3 linked regions of the Schizosaccharomyces pombe genome follow. The protein of the gene in region 3 interacts with the protein of the main gene of each other region in a biochemical or structural test. Each region holds a gene or a part of one and is shown on either strand. Other genes may lie near its edges.

Region 1 (5,684 bases), 280 kb from region 3:
TTCGTGTAATGCGGGTCGGTGGCAATGAAAACGCCCGTAATTACTTTAAGCGTCATGGTGGGGTTTCACTTCTGAATTCCAAGGATTGTCGTTTGAAATATTCTTCCAAAACTGCAAAACAATATCTTGAAAAACTAAAGTCTCTTGCGGTAGAAGACGAGGCTAATTATCCCGATATATTGGATATGGATTTCCTTTCCAACACTCATGAAGGCAGTTCTGCTGCTGACACTACTAATGAAGATGATGACTTTTTTTCTGCTTGGGATAAAGCATCTGTGAAGAAATCGGACGATAATCTTGATGACAAAACTGACTTAGCTTCTACTAGTTCATCGGTAGTTGTTGAAAGCGGCGAGAAAGATGAGCCTGTCGTCGTCACTGAAGAGAAGACTATGGTTTCTCCCCCTTCTCGTCCAGATTCTACTTCCACTACCAAATCAAAAACTTCTTCTATTTCTTCTGCTCGTGCCCGGCCTATCCGTGCTTCCTCACGCCCTACTGCTAGTAAATTGGGTGCTAGTAGACCTCAGAAGCTCGGTATCAAAAAGGCGAATGCCGATATTGACTTCGATGAGTTCGAAAAAGCTGTATTGTCTTCCGAATCTGCGCCAACCAAAAAACCTGCTGCTGTTGCGTCTAAGGAAAGCACCGTTGATACATTGGTAGATAATGGAGTCGAGGAAGTCAAGGAGTCCACTTCGACCACTGTGCAAGGAAAGCCGGTAAAACCTGTTTTGAAATCTGCTGCATCCGCAAAGTCAACTAAGTCTGACGACTCAAACCTCAATGCAAACTTTGCACGTTTGGGATTCGGCCAGTTTGCTGCTGCATCCAATGCGCGTGCTAAGGCCGCTGCAAAGGCACGAGAACTGAAGAAAAATGAGGTTAATGCACCGACATACGCACGAGATCACTTTGCTTCTCAGAAGTCTATTTCATCTGATCAATATTTTGGTCGTGGATCGTTTGATCCCGAGGCAGCTGCCGAAGCTCAAGAACGTTTATCTTCTTTCCGAGATGCCACAGCTATTTCTTCCAAGTCCTATTTTGGTGAGGAAGAAGATGAAAACGAGGAGGGTGAATCGTCTCATCGTCCAGATAGCGCATACCTTCGTGATATAGCTGAAACTGCTACTGAAGACATTGAAGCTATTAAAGTAGCTATTCACCAAGGCGCAGAAAAACTTTCAGATTTTATTCAAAAAGTTGGTGCTCGATACAATTTTTAATTCATCCGTCCAACTTTAGCTCAAGTAGCAAGAACCTGTCTATCTGTGCCAGTATCTGTTCCCCATCTTCTCAAATTTACTTCGACGACCAAAACTAATTAGTTCAAATTGAGTTATGCCTATTCTAACCAGTTCAATATTCCGCTACTAGTATCTTACCCTTATTGATCTGACCTTGTAACAAATGCGGTTTCTTCTCGTCAATTTCTCGTGGAACCATTTTTTTTAATATTGATAGAAATTATCTAAAACTATCACATCAACTTGTATAAAGGAAAGGTTTTGAATGCATTAAACAGCCATTGCGAACAGCTACTAGATTCTCTGAATTAAAAACTACATTTTTCACTGGCATGTAGCTTATCTGGATGCTGAATACCCACTTTCTTTTTCAGCTTTGCTTCAAGGTTTCGCTGTAAGCGGAAAGTGATTTATAGGTCTCTAGGAACTGTCCTTTTCTTGAATTTTAGATAGATTAATTGATGTAGCATTCTTTTTCGTTGCAGTGATAGTAAAGCTTTGTATTGTCAATTAACAGTCCTGTTTTAGTATTATTAAAACTACATAATTAATATTGAGCTCTACTGAGAATTTATTTAGTAATATTTGGAATTGTAACAAAAATTCAATTTTTGCAACTGGCATGTTTACATTTTGAGATGATGACCTACCCTCCCCTTTTAGTGGATACTTGGCCTACGCTACTTTCCCCATTCATACTACGGTGAAGGCTAAGTGAACGAAAAATCGCATTTTTTAAGCCTTACATGGCATATATTATTTAATTTTAATTAGCATCAACATCGACTTAATATATGACGATGTTTATGCAGCTTCAAGGTTAAACATGCCATCTTCGAATTCGGGAAATGTATGACTTTTGATCGTTGTGTTAGCTGCGTAATTAACGCTATTTCTAGGAGTTACTTTTAAGATTCTTTGAGTCTGCCCATTTCACGAGTCAACTTTGTGTTGCATATCTTTCACGCTATCCTAACAATATTGGCATTCATCACTTTCTTTGCGAAAAACTAGCAACGTATGTCTACCGTATCATTTCTTTGTTTTTTATGTCTAACACATATTAGATTTCCTTATGAAGAGATAGAATTTTTTATTCCTCAATTAATGTACGTTTATTTCGATAAATAAAGAAAAATTTTTGGGGGGAAGGAAAGTACCAAAAAGTCGAGCTCATAAGTCAGTGAAAGCCGAGTATATGACTCATATGCCTATTTCATAATTTAATGACTCTCTTACCTTTTGATTTTCTTTCCTTCAAACGTTTATTCCGTTGTGTTCGTGCATCTCTAATATCATACTGTAGTCATCTCGTCCTTAACAAAGATTCTGAAAGCGTTGCTTTAGAAGAATTTATCATTTCTCAATGTGAACAAAATACACAATGCGCACTCATTACATTTTGGTATTTGCAAGCCCATATGGTGGATCTAGGTTTACAGCCGCATTCTTCTTGTTTTAAAATATGTAAACGACTTTACAATCGTATTCAGATTTTGGTTTTCATGTCATCATCATCGTTAATACAGTCCCAACAAAAAATCTCCGAAAATGTAACCCCTGCCCTAATCCTTTCAGGCATCATGCTAGGTGGTGTTTGTGTGCCTGAACTACTAAAAAAAGCTGGCCCCATTGCAATTGCTCAAGGCCGTAAAGCCCCTAGGCAAGATCCAGATGAATCAGATGTTGATGTTTTACGCCGTCTTTCCACCGAACCTCGATATTCTCTGGACGTATTACGTTCGTCTTTGAACAACTCTATTGTCGAGCAACATTCCGAAGTATCCCTTAGACTAAAAGCTCCAGAACTAACCCGCACCCATTCATATCAATCATCAGCTACATTATCTATTGACGAACAGCGTCGTGTTCTACGCTCTAATTATTTTCAACAAGAAATTCAATTTCTTTTTGCTTTACAAGATATATCTATCCGTCTCATCATTGTACCTAGACAAGCTCGCCTTTCTTCATTACGCGCCGAACTTGCTCTTTTAAATAACAACCTTCCAGCCGATGTGAACATACCGCTTTTACGATCATATCATAAAGAAGTGAGTCATAAAATCGTTCGCATTGATCCTAAAGAGGCTACCATACTCAATTCTGCCGAACGAGTACCTTATCTTATTATGGTTGAGGTCCTATCTGGTGAACTCAGCTTCGAGCCACAATCGAAGAAAAATAAGGCTAAGGTGCAAAAGATTGTCTCTCATAAAAACCAAAGAAAAAGGTGGTTTGACCTCACAGATGTCGATCCTTATACGAACCTTCAAGACAGTACCGACAATGATATTTCAGAGTCGGAAAGTGAGGGAGGGGATTTAAGTATGTCTCCTCTGATAAAAGGGTTGGTACCGGACACTCTTTCTTTGAGTAAGTCATTCTCTTCGTTTGGTAATGTATCTTTGCAGGTACCGTCCTCTCATAGAGATACCGATGTCGTCCTGTTATCTGGGCGCCACTCTGATTCTGATGGAAATGGCGCCTTAAAAAGAAGTAAAATCTATGCTTCAGAAATAACAGCGAGAATGCGAGCTGCGGCAACTATGCTAAGTCAGCTTGATGCTGAAGGTAGCAGACGTCCCAAAGCTGAGACTGAACGAATAAAAAATAGCATTATTCTTGACATGCAAAGACTCGAAGAAGAGCGCCTTAATGAACCATCCATTTATCCTGTTTCAGTCGACATATCATGCGCAGAAGATCTGCGATTTGGCAAAGAAACTCAAAAGGCAGAACGGAAAGGTGATAGAGATGATCCCAGTGCCGCTACATTCCAAGAAGATTGGTATGCCAAGAAGGAAAGGATAAGAAAGTCTTCTCCTTATGGTCATTATCCCAATTGGGATTTGGTCAGTGTGATTGTTAAAACGGGTGCGGATCTCCGGCAAGAGACATTTGCCTGTCAACTTATATACGCGTTTCAGCGTGTTTGGCTAGAGTGTAAAGAAAAGGTTTGGGTTCGAAGGATGAAAATTTTAGTGACCGGCGACAATAGTGGCTTAATAGAAACGATTACAAATGCCATTAGTGTTCACTCTATTAAAAAGAATTTGACGAAACAGCTTCGGGAAGCTGAACTAGCCCAAGGAAAAATTGCTGGTAAAAATGTTGTTACATTGAAGGATTATTTTATAAAGCAGTTTGGTGATCCCAACAGCAGCCGGTATCGACAGGCACAGACAAATTTCCTTCAATCATTAGTGGCATATAGCATTATATCATACTTACTACAGTTAAAGGATAGACATAATGGTAACGTTCTTATTGATAGTGAAGGTCATATTATACATATTGATTTTGGCTTTTTACTTACGAATACACCGGGGAATGTTGGCTTTGAAAGCGCTCCATTTAAGCTTACGGCGGATTATTTAGAAATCCTTGACGACCGGTTTGATGAATATCGTTCCTTGATGAAAGCTGCGTTTAAATCTGTTCGAAAAAACGCTGATCAGATCATTTTGCTTGTTGAAGTTATGCAAAATAATTCCACAATGCCTTGCTTTCGTGCTGGTGAAAACACAAGTGCACAACTTTTGCAACGTTTTCAACTACAGCTTGGTGACAAAGAATGTGATGACTTTGTGGATTTGTTGATTCAAAAGGCAAATTGTAGTGTTTGGACGAGACTTTATGATCTGTTTCAAAATATTACGAACGGAATTTACTAGTAAGTGGCTATTCGTTTTCTCTTTTCATTTTTTTCGAATACAGCTACGGAGCTTCCACACTTGAACCATACTGCTGGTTGGCTTTTTTAACTTTCAATATTGTATTAAAATCACCACATTCACCATGGTTCGTAAATTTGGTAATTTTTTTGTTAGCTAGATTAGCTATATTAATGCATTAAAAATATTTTATGTGATCTATATGATTTATCATACCCACTAGAAACCCTTGCAATTATAATATACTATTAAAGCATACTGTCTAAATTAACTGCATTTCTAAGTTAGCAAACAATTTGGCGTAGTTAAATCCGGGTTAAAGAATCCTTTCGCACTTCCGTATATTGACATACCAAATTTTAAAGTAAGATTAGGTACTGCAACCCACTTCAATTTACCCTTTACCATCAAATTGAAAAATTAGGCGCAAACAGTAATTGTATATTAGAACTTGGAATTTTTTTCTTTTCATTTATAATTTTGTGTTATAATCCTTTGTTCCTTCTTCTACTAGGGGTTGTTTCTTTGCACAATATTGTAGTTGACATTGGTTAATGGGGTATCTTCATATTGATTACAGTATTCGTGATATAACAAAGAAATTTGGTAGGAAAATTTTAGTGTTGATTAATAGTTTTTCTTATCAGGATTATATCCAACTGAGGTGAATTATTACTTGAGACTTTACATCATTAAATTTTATGCAGGTATTAAGTCGTGATTATATCAGTCAAACAAGTACCTTTTGAATTCA
Region 2 (7,486 bases), on a different chromosome or scaffold from region 3:
TGGGTGTTGAGGTCTACCCTTCCTATGGAACTTCAAAAGGATTCTCGCTTAATTGTAGATTCGGTATTGGATACTGCTTATTATGGATTTTTGATGACTGTGATCGCATTCATAGCCGTTTCTCATTGCAGTGTAGGACATTCAGAACTGCAATCTTTTTTGCAGGAACTTCTAACAGAGGAAGAAACAACCCCTTTGCATCTGGATATTACTCGCTCGTTATCTCTTTTAGTTCGCCAAGGGTATTTAGATAGAGTGAAAGATGATACCCATAACCAGTTTGTTTATTATATTGGATCCCGTGCAGTAACTGAAATTTCTATTGAAGGCTTGAAATCATTCGTTACAGAGTTCTTTCCGGATTCAGACATTGATATGGATGCTCTATTAACCGAATATCGGCAGGAGTATCAGAATCAATCTTCCTCAAGTGCAGCATAGATGACTCTTAGGTTTTTACATTATGCTCGTCTCATGTTAATGCTATTGTATACTTACTCCGCTACTACAAAAAAATTCGTAATATTATTTAAGTTCCTATATGCGTGCTAATATCTCGATATAAATTTAAGATGTATATTTGGTTATATAGCGGGAATATTATGTACAGCTGTTAAATAAAAAAAATAAAAAAATAGCTCGTAAACTTATAAGAGAAGTATATGTCAGTATATATAATATAATTAATAAAGGTTTCATCATTACAAAATCATTTAACTTCATGCGGCGCGCAACTCATCTTCAAGGCTTGCAATGCGATCTCGTAAAGCTCTCACATCTATTAACGAATCTTTGTTCACTTTTTCCAAAGAAGCAATTCGTTTTTGTAACTCCTGCTCACGTTTTTCATATTGTACTTGAACGGAAAACATTTTTGCCTTTTCGCTATTTATTTGATCCTTCAGAGCTTTCAATTCAATAGCATGAGCCAAGTTGACATGTTGCAAAGATTGGCCAGTAGGTTGAGGTGATACTTCGGCCCCTTTTAACTCATTAACTTGCTTCTCTAAGTTGTGCTTCTCAAGATTAAGACGGTCGTAGTCTCGTTTCAAGTTCTCGTATAACGCTTGATTTGCATTTCTTTGCTGTAAATCAAAAATTGTCTTTCGTTGTGGAATATTTTTCAAAACGGGTTCCGTAGTTTTGACAGCCGGTATATTATTCTCCTTTCCGGACGGTCTATGTTCTTTAAGGCGATGTATCTCTGCCTCTCGCTTCTTGCAGGAATCAAGAGCAGAATTCAGTTCCTTTCGAGTATCAACCAGCTTCATTTCTACTTCTGAAAGCTTACTACGTATACTTTCATGATCAGCAACTTTGTTCCTTAAAAGGGTGACTTCCGAACGGAGGCTTCTAGTTGTTTTTACTTCTTCTAGTACCTTTTGATACTCAACTTCAAGCTTTCGTTTACTCTCCAACTCTGATTTCAAAGAGCGTAATTCTTCGTTATCTCGACTAGCTATCAATGCTTTACGCTTTTCATCTTCAAAGGTCTTACCGAGTTGACTGTACTCGTGCATTAAGTTAGTAATCTTCCTCTCAAGTTCGGGAACCTTAGATGCTTTTGGAGAAAGTTCATTTACTTGCTTCGTCAAACTCGATACCTTATTAGAGAGATCTTTATTCTCGGAGCTCGCCAACGAAAGCTTTTCCTTGTAGGACGCCGATTGCCGAAGAAGACTTTCATGATTAAAGGTCAAATCACGATGTTTTTTCGAAAGTTCCTGAAAGTTTGTATCGACGTCTTTTAACCCCTCCAAGTCCAGCTGAAGTCCTTCATATTTTTTCTTGTAATTCTCCAAGTCGCTAACTTTAAGAAGTAAATTCTCATGGATTTCTTGCAATTCAATGTACTTTAAAGAAGCATCTGACAAATTTTGGCATTTCTCTTCCTTATTTTCAAGCTCTTTCGTTAACGATTTGATGTTATTTAAACATTCTTTAACTTTGGCTTCCAGTTCTTTATTTTTGGTAGCCTGGAGCTGATAAAGTTGATCTTTGTCATTCAAGGATTCTAGTTCTTTCTTCAATTTCGGAAGCTGTTTGACATCGGCTTCCAAATAATTAACCTTCTCTTCTAAGTTATTTATTGTTAACTCTTGCACTCCTTTCAAGACGCTTAACTCTTCTTTCTGCTGTTTTAAAATAGAGACGTCGCTTATAAGAGTAGAATTTTCACGTTCTAATTTTTTGACTCGTTTGAGACTCTCAGATAAAGAACCTTCCTGCTGAATACTCTTTTCATTCATCTTCTGATTTGTCAGTCTCATTTCTTGAATTTCAGTTTTATAGTCAGAAATATATTTAGTGAGTTTATCAAGTTCAGCATCCTTGGTAACGATAGTTTCCTGTAAACTTTTACATTGTTCATTGAACTCTGCTTTTTCTGATAAAACAGTTGCATTGTTCTCACGTAAAGACTCAAGTTCTCCCTTTGTATCTAGCAAATCCTTCTCTTCCAAACTCAGTTTTTCTTTCAGTTCGTTCTGTTCTGATAACAAAGTCTCAACCTTGGAAGTTTTTTCTAGTAACTCACTTTCTAATTCGTTATTAATCTGTTTCAATGACGCTGACTCTCGTTGCAAATTTTCATTTTGCTGTTTTGTTTCGCTAAACGAATCTTCTATGTTTGCAAGCCTTTCCTGTGTTCGACGTAATATTTCCTCCTTATCAAGGGCTATCGCACGTTCAGTAGTAAGCAAATTTTCAACAGCAGTTAAAGAATTGTTGGTCTCGACGAGATCACGCTCTACCTCAGATTTTGAATTCTGTTGTTTTTTCAGCTCGTACTTCAGCTCTATGATTTCAGCATCTCGCTTTTTAAGCTGCTTATCATTTTGAGTACTACTTAATAAGGGCCTTAGATTGAAAAATAACTTAGCCCAAGGAAAAGTTCTAAATTCATTGTACACTTGCAAATTTGCTTGTAGTAATTTGATGGCTTGTATGTCCTTCAATCGCTTTTGAAAAATTTTTCTTTGAAGAAAGCCACGGATCCTTGTTTGTAGCATAGTCATCAGTCTTTGTAAAGTCGCTACGCGCCTCTCCTCTAATTCTGCTAAAACACCTGCTTTGAAAAATATTTTTGAAACACCAATTCGATAAGATGCTTCGTCAATTTTCAACTCCTCCAAAATCATGACAGAAGCACGTCGAGATTCCACATAGGTACCTGTTGGTAAATGCGCCATTATCTCATATCTGACTCTAAAATCATTAAATGGTAAACGGTTAGGAAAACCAGCCCTTGTGATTCTGATTCCTTCCAAAACACCATTACATCGAAGTTGTCCTAAAACGAGGGGTCTATTAAAGGTGTGCATTTTCTTTTCTTCGTTTGGAACAATACAACGAATAAAGTGAGGTTGGGTCGAGTTAAATTGATTCATAAGCTGATTGAGCTGCTCTTTATGCCTTTGAGCAACAGTTCGAAAAAGGCCCTTTTTCGTCCTTCCCCTAACAGTTTTAGTCTCAGTTTCCTGATAATCAGAAAATAGTGTAGCGACATGCTTGTTAGTAGATTGCGCAAGCAACTTAGCAACGTTTTCATTCAAAGGATCGGTGTTCTTCTCCAGCCAACCTTCTGTACTGTAAGGAACATCAGCGGCATAATGAGTCAAAATAAAACCTTGATCGGCAAACTTAAAAGGTTTATATTTTAGCGACTTGTTCCTCCAAAGAGCATCAAGTTTAGAAGTAAACGTAGCATCAGTTGCTTTCGGCATAACACATTCTTCATCCAAACATGAAAGAATACCTATTGGGTTTGCTTTCTCGATTAAATCAATAGTCGGCTGTAAATCATGTCCAAAATCAATGAAATCCCATACAATTTCTTCTTTCATATATTCTTCTTGCTCCAATACGAACATGTGATGGTTAAAGAATTGTTGCAACTTTTCATTTGTGTAATTAATGCAAAGTTGTTCAAAACTGTTTTTCTCAAAGATTTCGAAACCGGCGATATCTAAAATACCAATAAAGTAGCTTTGGGCATTGGAATGGTTCAAGGAAGTGTTAAGTCGCTTTACCAGCCATCCAAAATTCCTTTCGTATATGGCTTTTGCTAATGCTTCAATGGACGAAATGACTTGAGTTTGACTTCGAGCGCTGATAACCCATTCATGGCCTGCTTTAATACGAGGTCGAACAAGATTTTGTGAAAATAACTCCGGAGACACACCAAGCAAATGACAGAGCTTGTCAATCTCATCAGGATTGAGAAGACGAGCTATACCAGAGCGATCAGCACCGACATCAATATTTCCCATATGTAGAATAATGGAAAGTATATTAAATAAATCAAAGTTCTCTTTATCGTCAAATCCAAGAGTTTTAAAAGCAGCTAAAAGAGTTTTAAACTCTTCTTTATCGTCAACTCCATCAATAATGTGAACCGAATCCTTCAAATATCGATAATCATTACAGTTATCGGTTAAAAGAAGTTTGTTCTTGAGAGCAGTATCAGCACCACTTAAAAGCTGATAAAAAACATGGTAGTTTCTTTCAAACTCGTTCTGATGAACAACGCGAGATTTTTCAAGAAGATACCATTCTATGGCGGCATTCGAAATTTCCCCACTCAAAGAAAACTCAACTTTAATGAATTTTCCAAAACGAGAAGAATTGTTGTTGCGTACGGTACGAGCATTACCAAATGATTCGAGCACAGGATTCGTTTTAATGATCTGCTCTTCAACCTGACTAGAGCCAACGGTAGTCGAGCTAGCAATTGCTGCAAGATATTGGATGATTCTTTTGGTATTCTCTGTTTTACCTGCGCCGGACTCACCAGTTACAAGAATCGATTGATTTTCCTTATTTTCTAAAAGGTTATTGTATGCTAAATCCGCGATTGCGAAGACATGAGGTAGCTTGCGCTCTTGTGTTTTATCTTTGTACAATTGAATGATGTCCTTCGTATAGATTGGTAGTCCACAATAAGGATTGACCGCAACGAGAAAGAGCCCAGAATAGGTATAAATTTGATCAGAGAGATATCTCTGTTCAAGATTGTATGTGACTGCAGGCTCGTTTAAGTATGTCAACTCAGCCATGTCATTGACTCTATCAAACTTGGCAGGATTCACCGGATCAATTTCATCCTCACCAACGATCTTCTCATCCCTGGAATTATTATACCGAACAACATATTTCTTGTCTGGCAGATCCTCTTTAATCCAAGCCTTGGTAAAGGCAGTCTCTGGGTCGGAAATCCAAACCCATCGTTTATCATCAATATCCTTCAGACTAGTTGCACCATCTTTTGCAGTTATTTTATTAGATATTACTTCTGTCATCGGGCTACTCTCTAAGACGGTTATTTACCGCCTTTCCTGAAAATAAACAATGCGGTGTACAATACCAAAACCTTGTAAAACAATAAGGATAGACCAAAAATCAAAGAGTGAAAAAATCCAAAAAGATAGCAATAGATATATCCGAAAAGAAGGATCAACAAATGCACAGAGAAAACGTTAAAGAACTATGTTGTTGGATACTTTTTGTACTCCCCGTTGAACGCACAGCAATTAATGATTTAAGCACTTGAACATTCGATTAACGCATGCGTTAATCGAACGTTTATGTACTTGATCATATTTGCGTTAAAACATTTAGTATAGGTTAAGGTAGCATCCAGAAACATTCCTATAACATAATGATTTTAATATCACAATTAAGAAGGTATATATATCTTTTAAAAGAAATAATATTAATAGATGGAGGTCATTATATACTCGGTCTTTTGCAATTAAAGTCCTGACAAATTTTTAAAGCTTTACTTTCATCAAGATTGAAGATATTAAGTAATAATTGAAAATACATTGTACTAATACTCAAAACATCAAATGAACGTAGGATTAGGGGTTACGGTTTAATCGAAATTTCATGTTCCCCCGTGCTTTTAGGTAAAATGATTGTATAAAAAACTCCCGCTATTACAGATATATGAGTAATTTGTGACTAGATACGCAAATAATATGTTCCTCATCGTACCGAACACAACTTTTAAAGCAAATAACTAAACTCGGCATTTATTTATCTACATTTTATATATAGCACTCTAATCATGCCTCTTACTGAATAATTATAAGAACACGCTCTAGCTAATAATCGCAATCAGTAATTATTATGTGCTTACTGACCATCTACAGCTATGGCCCTGGTAATAATCAATAAGTAAATATACAGAAATGTTAGTTGCTTCAGTTAGTGTTTGAAAGAAAGCATGGTGCTTCAATGTGTAACCACATCTTTAAACTTATGATCAAAACATGCAGAATACCATAACCAGTTACGTAAAAAAACAACAATGTTCTCTGTTTTCATCAACTGTAGTCGGCAAGTTTATGCAACTTGTACAATAAGCCAATTTTGGCTTAACACTGAACATAATGATAGTAGCGATCATTTTAAGTAATTAAAAAATGTTAATGCATGCAGATTTTAATATTCCTTTGTGATAAAATGGGTAGGGAAATGTAAAAAAAAAAAAAAAGAAGAAATAAAATTTCAAGGCTGCGATAAAATATGATTCGAAAGATGCAGGATGTTCCGTAAAACAAAATAAGATAAACGTTTCCGATATTCAAAAGTATGGATGAGTAAAAAAGACAATCATGGCAAGAAAACTTGTAATAAATATGATAATTATCAATCTTCAATTATGAAGGAGTTTGTTTTTGCCTTATTTAAAGCGAGTATCAAATGGCGATCGTGATACTGAGGATGAACCATGCCAAACATTATATATTTCCCATTGGCTAGCCAATCACTGTTACTAGGGTAGTATTTAATGTCATTTCCTTGGATAATTTGATTAAGTTTCCTAGTTCGCGTGTTCCATATTTCGACAAATTCATCATTAAATGCAATGAGATATCCATGACAGCTGGTAACAGAGTTCGGTTTGCCAATCCAATCAAACCAACACTCTTTATTAACCATACTACCCTCTCCATTGACAAACACGGCACCGAATTGATAGCAGCATGCAAATAAGCTAGGATCGTGGATGCGAAAGACGCCAAGCGGCTTACTGTTGTTGATTCGGTTCCGAAACAACGTATCATTAAGCACTGAAGGGCTTGGAAAACCAACTGCTAATTTAGGGTCCAAACGCAGAACGTCAATGCCTTTATTGTGACAAAGAGCAATTGAATACTTAAAGCAATCAATTGAATGACAGTTAGCCGTTACGTGAAAATCATCCAGAGTTCTGAAGGAAGTAACATCTTTTCTCTTGAAGGCATATGTTTTCTGATAGTTATGTCCTAAGCCGATCACTGGTTCACAGCAAATTATGGTTGTAGTATTACCGAGTCCCTCTTTATAAAAAACCAAAGTTCGCTCACGTTTAACAGAAGCCCCCTCAGACAATTTACCTATTTTAAAGAATGATACGGCATGCGGAGTTCCAATGACAACTGCAATTTTGGATTCGATCAGACCCATTTCAATAATACGACTTAATTTATGAGCATAA
Region 3 (6,079 bases):
GATTGCTGTTTTGATTGATGAGTTAAAGGTTGGTAACAAATTGTTTTACGTCTGATATGTTCAACTCTGACTATTGTTAAAGCATGATGAAATTACTTATAGGCTCAATGCTTTGGAACGGTTATCGACAATTGCTCTCGCTTTAGGTCCTGAACGTACAAGGGATGAGTTGATTCCCTTTTTAGATGGTATGCATTCAATAATAAAATTATGGAACTATAGGTTTAAATTTTTAAAATTCTTTATATTTTTTAATAAACGATGTATGTTTGTCGGCTAACATTCCTTGAATACAGAATCGATTGACGATGAGGACGAAGTCCTATCAGCTCTCGCCGACCAGTTAGGAAATTTTGTAGATTATGTTGGAGGCCCTGAGTATGCGCATGTCCTTTTGTCTCCCCTTGAAAATCTTGCTGCAACTGAAGAAACGGTAGTCCGCGATAAAGCCGTTGACTCTCTCAATAAAGTATGTATTTGCCTATCCCAAGAACAATTAGAGCAATATTTTGTTCCATTGGTTCAACGTCTTTCAACCGCTGAGTGGTTTACCTCTCGTGCGTCCTCTGCTGGGCTTTACTGCGCGGCATATTCTCAGTCAGAAAATCCTGCTGTCAAAGTCTCTCTTCGTCAAAGTTTTAGTCATCTATGTCACGACGAAGCTCCCATGGTCCGTCGTCCTGCAGCAACGAACTGTGCCAAGTTTGTTTTTTTGGTAACTAAACAGGAGGCTATTGACGAATTCATTCCATTGTTCAACTCCCTTTCTAATGATGACCAAGACTCAGTTCGGCTCCTTTCTTTCGACATTATGGTTTCTTTGGCGGAGGTATTAAAATCTGACTCGGAAATTCGTCACTATTTGCTTCAACCATTAAGGTCTTTTGTTTCGGATAGCAGCTGGAGAACACGTTATATGGTTGCTGCTAATTTTGTAAAACTTGCTAAAGTAGTTGGACCATCTCTTATTAAAGATGAACTTATTAAACCATTCGTACTGCTCATGAAGGATACCGAGCAGGAAGTCCGCCGTGCTATTGCTACTCAAATACCAGGATTTTGCGAATTGTTGGATAAGCGAATTGTTCTTGAAGAGATTATTCCAGTTATTCAAGAGTTAATTAATGATCCCGCTCAACATGTCCGTGCTGCTTTAGGGATGAACATAGGTGCTCTCGCCCCACAATTAGGAAAGGAAAAGTATGTCTGCTAAAAATAACTTTTCTTTTAAAAACCTCATTTTACTAATCGTTATATTTAGGACTACAGAGTATCTTTTACCAATGTTTTTGGAATTACTTAAAGATGAAAACCCTGAAGTTCGTCTTAACATTATTTCGAAATTGGAAGTTGTAAACAAAGGTAAATTGCAAATTCAAAATATAGCTATTGCTACAGTTATACTAACTCACTTTAGTCGTTGGTATCGAATTACTTTCACAATCTTTATTGCCTGCAATTGTTACACTTGCTGAAGATAAACAATGGCGTGTTCGTCTTGCTATCATTGACTACATTCCACTACTTGCTCAGCAGCTTGGGGTCGAATTTTTTAATGAGAAAATGGGCAATTTATGTATGTCATGGTTAGAGGACCATGTATATTCTATTCGTGAAGCTGCGATAAAGAATTTGCGAAAACTTACGGAAATTTTTGGGTTGGAATGGGCAACTGAGACAATTATTCCAAAGTTTTTGGCTATGCGAAGCCATCCAAATTATTTATACCGAATGACAACTATTTTTGCGATCAGTGTAAGTTTTTCTTTTTTGCTTTTTTCCAGTTCTAACGTATTTTAGGAAATCGCACCTGCATTGAATGCTGAAGTAATTGAAAAACAAATTCTTCCAACTTTGGAACAGTTGGTTAATGACCCTATTCCTAATATTCGCTTTAACGTTGCCAAGGCGTTTGAAGTTCTTAAGCCTGTTTTGGCAGCTGGTGGTGACTCGACCGTATATGAACAGCAAATCATCCCATTGCTCGAACAACTTACAAAAGATAATGACCCTGATGTTCAATATTTTGCTACTCAGGCCTTAGAGCAAACAAATGACTAATTGTTGGGTTATATGATTGCATGTCTAAATGAGCCAAAAGTTTTACCTTTATGATTTGTGTTCACTATGTAAAAATGCAAAAGAATGGACTGTCTTGACTCTGGCCATTCGTTCGACATCAAGTGTCAAGCCCTACATCTAATTCAAAGCATCGTATTGACACACAGTAAATTAGATATACAAGATATACACGATATGGCAAAATTGGAGCCGAATGCATCAAGAAAGCTGGCATCAACCGTAATTACTTACGAAAAGTGTAATTTTGAATGAAAACTTATATTTACATCTGGAGAGATTCAAACAATTTAAGCAGCTGAGATATAAGGTCATTTGCATGAGATAACAAATGGTTGTTAATCATATTCATAAATATACGAATATAGAAGGATATCTCTATTTCCGTATGCTAAACGATATGTGTAGAAATTCCTGCGAGTATCGAAAAGTCCAGTTATCTGTATTCAGGAACATATTGCTTCATAGTCCCAAGTGTATCAGATGGAAAAGCTGAACGAAAGTAAACTATTGAAGACATAAAATTGAAATAAAGGTGTAAATAATAAAGGAGAAACATATGCCGGGTAAATTATGCAAACTATGTAGATTTAATTAATTGGCAAGAATCATTTGAACGAAATCTAAAGGAAGCAGTTAGTATAATTAAGTATAGGTAGTTGATTGCCGAAGCCCAGAGTAGTAATAGAGCATACCGTGATAATTAACCATGCCATCTTTTACGGGAACACCCTTTAATAACTCGTCCATTTCTTCGTTGCTGAGTTTTTCACCCAAAGAAGTTAAAACTGATACAATTAGTTTCGCATTTTTTTATCAATCTGAAAAAAGGATAGATCTCTATAAATACATACCATAGCGCAATTCACCCACTCCAATCATGCCAGTGGCATCTTTATCAAACACCTGGAAGCCCTTCACGAATTCCTCTGGGTCACCAGGCATATCAAACCCATTGGGACGATTTAACACTTGAAGGAATTGTTCCATATCGACTACCAATTAGTATTGTCACTTAATGCACGGCTAAGGAGTATAACTCTCCAAACCCATAACAAGAAATCATACCTTCTGCGGGCAAAGTAGATTCAATTTCAGTAATCTCAGCCAGCGTAGGATTTTGTCCACACGCTCTTAAAAGATCACCAATGGACGTTTTGGGGATGCGACCAGTTCCATGGCGGTCAAATAAAGAAAAAGCTATCTTTTCGTTAATAAACATTTTGAAATGATTTCAAAAAGTAGTTATTACCTTGTTTATAAGGTGAATCGTCTGTCGACATGTTTGACTATTCTAAATGGATTGTTAGGATGAAGGTAAGTGTACTAAGTCGACTGTAATCTGTGTACACGCACCTATAAGCCCCATAGCAACCGTTGCCATGATAATGTTTACTGTATAGCGATCTGTTTAGTAATTTACTAAAGAACGTAGAGCTATGTAAACCAGCTTATATGAACAGAATTGTCATTTACTTTGCCAGATTTTAATTTAGAACATCATTCGTATACAGAATATGAATAGTCATACTAATGTCGAGCTACTTGATAAATTATGAAATGGCTGGCGATTTCACTATTTCTAGTGCAATACAAAATACGAGAGTCACCGGAACACGAGAAATACAGTACTGATGCACTTCATAAATTCAATAATCACATCAGAATATCAGATATCATTAACTTGTTAACCTCAAAAGACTAATCTACCGGAAAGCCAACGCTGTCCACCAGACTTCTAATTTTCGGCGTTTGTGTACCAAAAAGGCAGTCACAGATGGTATATCTAAATTTTCGGGCTCACAAAATATGCATTGAGTAAAAGTAAAATAAACGAATCAATATGTTTTTATATGTTGCTTTAATGCGTGGTTTATATAATTGAGCGAATCTTGGAAATAAGTATTTTGATAAGCAATGTATATATTCTCATATCCCAGTGGTACATGACAGTAAACATTGTAGGAAACGTAATTATTAAATATTATATATCAATCCCTTTTAACATTAATTTATGAATTAATAAGAAACCGAAAAAAGGCTTTATTTTATGTTTTTACGCTCAACCTTCAATTTACTTTCAAGTAATTAAATAGCAAGTGAAATCTAGAAATTGATACAAAACAAAGGACTTATAAATTTGAACAAATTTTTAAGCGATGATGTCCAGAAATTGCCTACTACTTGTTTCGCAGTTCCGATGACTTAGAGCCATTATCACTGGATCATCTTATTACTGGACTACATATATTTTTCGTTGGCGCTGCTTCGAACTCAGACAGAACCAACCTTCGTCGTAGTAAAGGACCTTTAATAGTGTTTACTTACTTGGCATTCAACAACTTAGGAAGCACTCTTTGACCTAAATTTATTAATTCTATTTAATAAGCCATGTCTCCGGTAAGTAACCCCAATTGGGCATCCAAAGAATTTTGCTAGTAAAAATTTTCATCAGTCGGAGAAACAGTACTGAAAGTTATCTTATTGAGTTATATAGTAGATTTTACTATGCGGATAACAAATTTGTTTTTGCTGATGAATTTTTAGGCAATTGAAATTTTAAATTTTTTTGTTTCTTTTTTTTGAAATTTTTATTGCTTTATGTTGATTGCTATGTCCAGCATGTTTGGTCTTTTTTTTTAATGTCAATTTGCTAACATTATTCAATTAGGTTTTTTTACCCAGCGGTGAAACTTACGATCAAGAGCATCTTGATGACAACCGTGTCTTAGGTTACAACCCTTTGGTTCCTGCCGCTTTGGTTCAACAAGAGATTCCTGTTTCTGAAACTTCTCGCAAAGTCATCACTGACTCCAGAAAGGAGATTCAAGCTATTCTCAACAAACAAGATGACAGAATTATCGTTGTTGTCGGTCCTTGCTCCATTCATGACCCTAAATTGGCCATGGACTATGCTAAGTTGCTGAAGCCCAAAGCTGACGAGCTTCAGGATGCTTTGTGCGTTGTCATGCGTTGTTATTTGGAGAAGCCCCGTACTACTATCGGATGGAAGGGTTTGGTCAACGACCCTAACTTGGATGGTTCTTTTGCTATCAACAAGGGTATTAGGATGGCTCGTCAAATGTATTGCGACGTTACCAATTTTGGCATTCCTTTGGCCAGTGAGATGTTGGACAACATTTCTCCCCAATTCTTCGCCGACTTACTCAGTTTTGGTGCTATCGGTGCTCGTACTACCGAGTCTCAATTACATCGTGAATTGGCTTCTGCCCTTTCCTTCCCTGTTGGTTTCAAGAATGGTACTGATGGTACTGTTGGTGTGGCGATTGATGCCATTGGTGCTACCGCCCATCCTCACACAATGCTAGGAGTTACTAAACAAGGTCTCGCCGCTATTACCATGACCAGGGGCAACAAGGATACCTTCATCATTTTGCGTGGTGGTAAGAAGGGTCCTAACTATGATGCTGAGCACGTTGCCGCCGTTCGCAAAGATCTTGAGAAGGCCAACCTTCCTCCTCGTATCATGATCGATTGCTCTCATGGCAACTCAAGCAAGAATCATTTGAACCAACCAAAGGTCTCCAAGAGCATCGCCGAACAAATCAGAAATGGCGACTCTTCCATTGTTGGTGTTATGATTGAATCTCATATCAATGAAGGTCGTCAAGATGCTCCAATCCGTCCTGGCGTTAAGGATACTCTCAAGTACGGTGTCAGTATCACTGATGCTTGTGTTAGCTGGGAACAAACTGCTCCAATGCTAGACGATCTTGCTGAAGCTGTCCGTGCTCGCCGTCAAAACCAAAAAAGTAATTAAGACATATAAATGTTATATTCAGCAGTTTTAATTTTTTTAATTTTTGAAACTTATTTTTTCGTAACATACAACAACTGAACAATTTTGGCTTAAATACGGGTTCTATTTATTTTTTTTTGTTTTTTTTTTCTTATATCGTACACAGCTTCTACCAATAACACCTTCGTTTTTAAGAATTGCTGTGCAAGTTTTGCGAAATGTTTGATCGTTTCATATGTT

What was found. Proteins that work in one complex are often made in the same cells at the same time.
Region 1: the proteins of cdc4 (region 3) and pik1 form a complex in vitro, tested with the Schizosaccharomyces pombe proteins (2 studies listed by BioGRID).
Region 2: the proteins of cdc4 (region 3) and myo2 form a complex in vitro, tested with the Schizosaccharomyces pombe proteins (one study listed by BioGRID).

What each region holds. Positions count from the first base shown.
Region 1 is NC_003424.3:5,048,655-5,054,338, reverse strand, and holds pik1 (Golgi-specific 1-phosphatidylinositol 4-kinase, type III-beta Pik1), read left to right. Parts: upstream 1-1,930; 5' UTR 1,931-2,079; coding exon 2,080-2,103; exon of another isoform or gene 2,104-2,152; coding exon 2,153-2,271; exon of another isoform or gene 2,272-2,315; intron 2,316-2,320; coding exon 2,321-2,362; intron 2,363-2,513; exon of another isoform or gene 2,514-2,559; coding exon 2,560-4,930; 3' UTR 4,931-5,184; downstream 5,185-5,684. Other genes in the region: glo3 (ARF GTPase-activating protein), read left to right, coding at 1-1,232. UniProt on the Schizosaccharomyces pombe protein: Acts on phosphatidylinositol (PI) in the first committed step in the production of the second messenger inositol 1,4,5,-trisphosphate. PIK1 is part of a nuclear phosphoinositide cycle and could control cytokinesis through the actin cytoskeleton.
Region 2 is NC_003421.2:1,232,731-1,240,216, forward strand, and holds myo2 (myosin II heavy chain myo2), read right to left. Parts: upstream 5,507-7,486; 5' UTR 5,301-5,506; coding exon 720-5,300; 3' UTR 501-719; downstream 1-500. Other genes in the region: Smc5-6 complex non-SMC MAGE family subunit Nse3, read left to right, coding at 1-441; RhoGEF for Rho1, Rgf3, read right to left, coding at 6,655-7,486. UniProt on the Schizosaccharomyces pombe protein: Required for cell division. It is a component of the cdc12 'spot', a structure thought to mark the site of septation. May work in conjunction with myo3.
Region 3 is NC_003424.3:5,326,501-5,332,579, reverse strand, and holds cdc4 (myosin II light chain cdc4), read right to left. Parts: upstream 3,393-6,079; 5' UTR 3,363-3,392; coding exon 3,332-3,362; intron 3,280-3,331; coding exon 3,148-3,279; intron 3,075-3,147; coding exon 2,934-3,074; intron 2,868-2,933; coding exon 2,775-2,867; intron 2,703-2,774; coding exon 2,674-2,702; 3' UTR 2,062-2,673; coding exon of another isoform or gene 1,801-2,061; 3' UTR 1,756-1,800; downstream 1-1,755. Other genes in the region: serine/threonine protein phosphatase PP2A scaffold subunit Paa1, read left to right, coding at 1-28, 83-188, 297-1,200, 1,262-1,362, 1,418-1,755, 1,801-2,061; SPOM_SPAP8A3.07C (phospho-2-dehydro-3-deoxyheptonate aldolase), read left to right, coding at 4,471-4,479, 4,751-5,860. UniProt on the Schizosaccharomyces pombe protein: Involved in cytokinesis. Required for the formation and function of the contractile ring.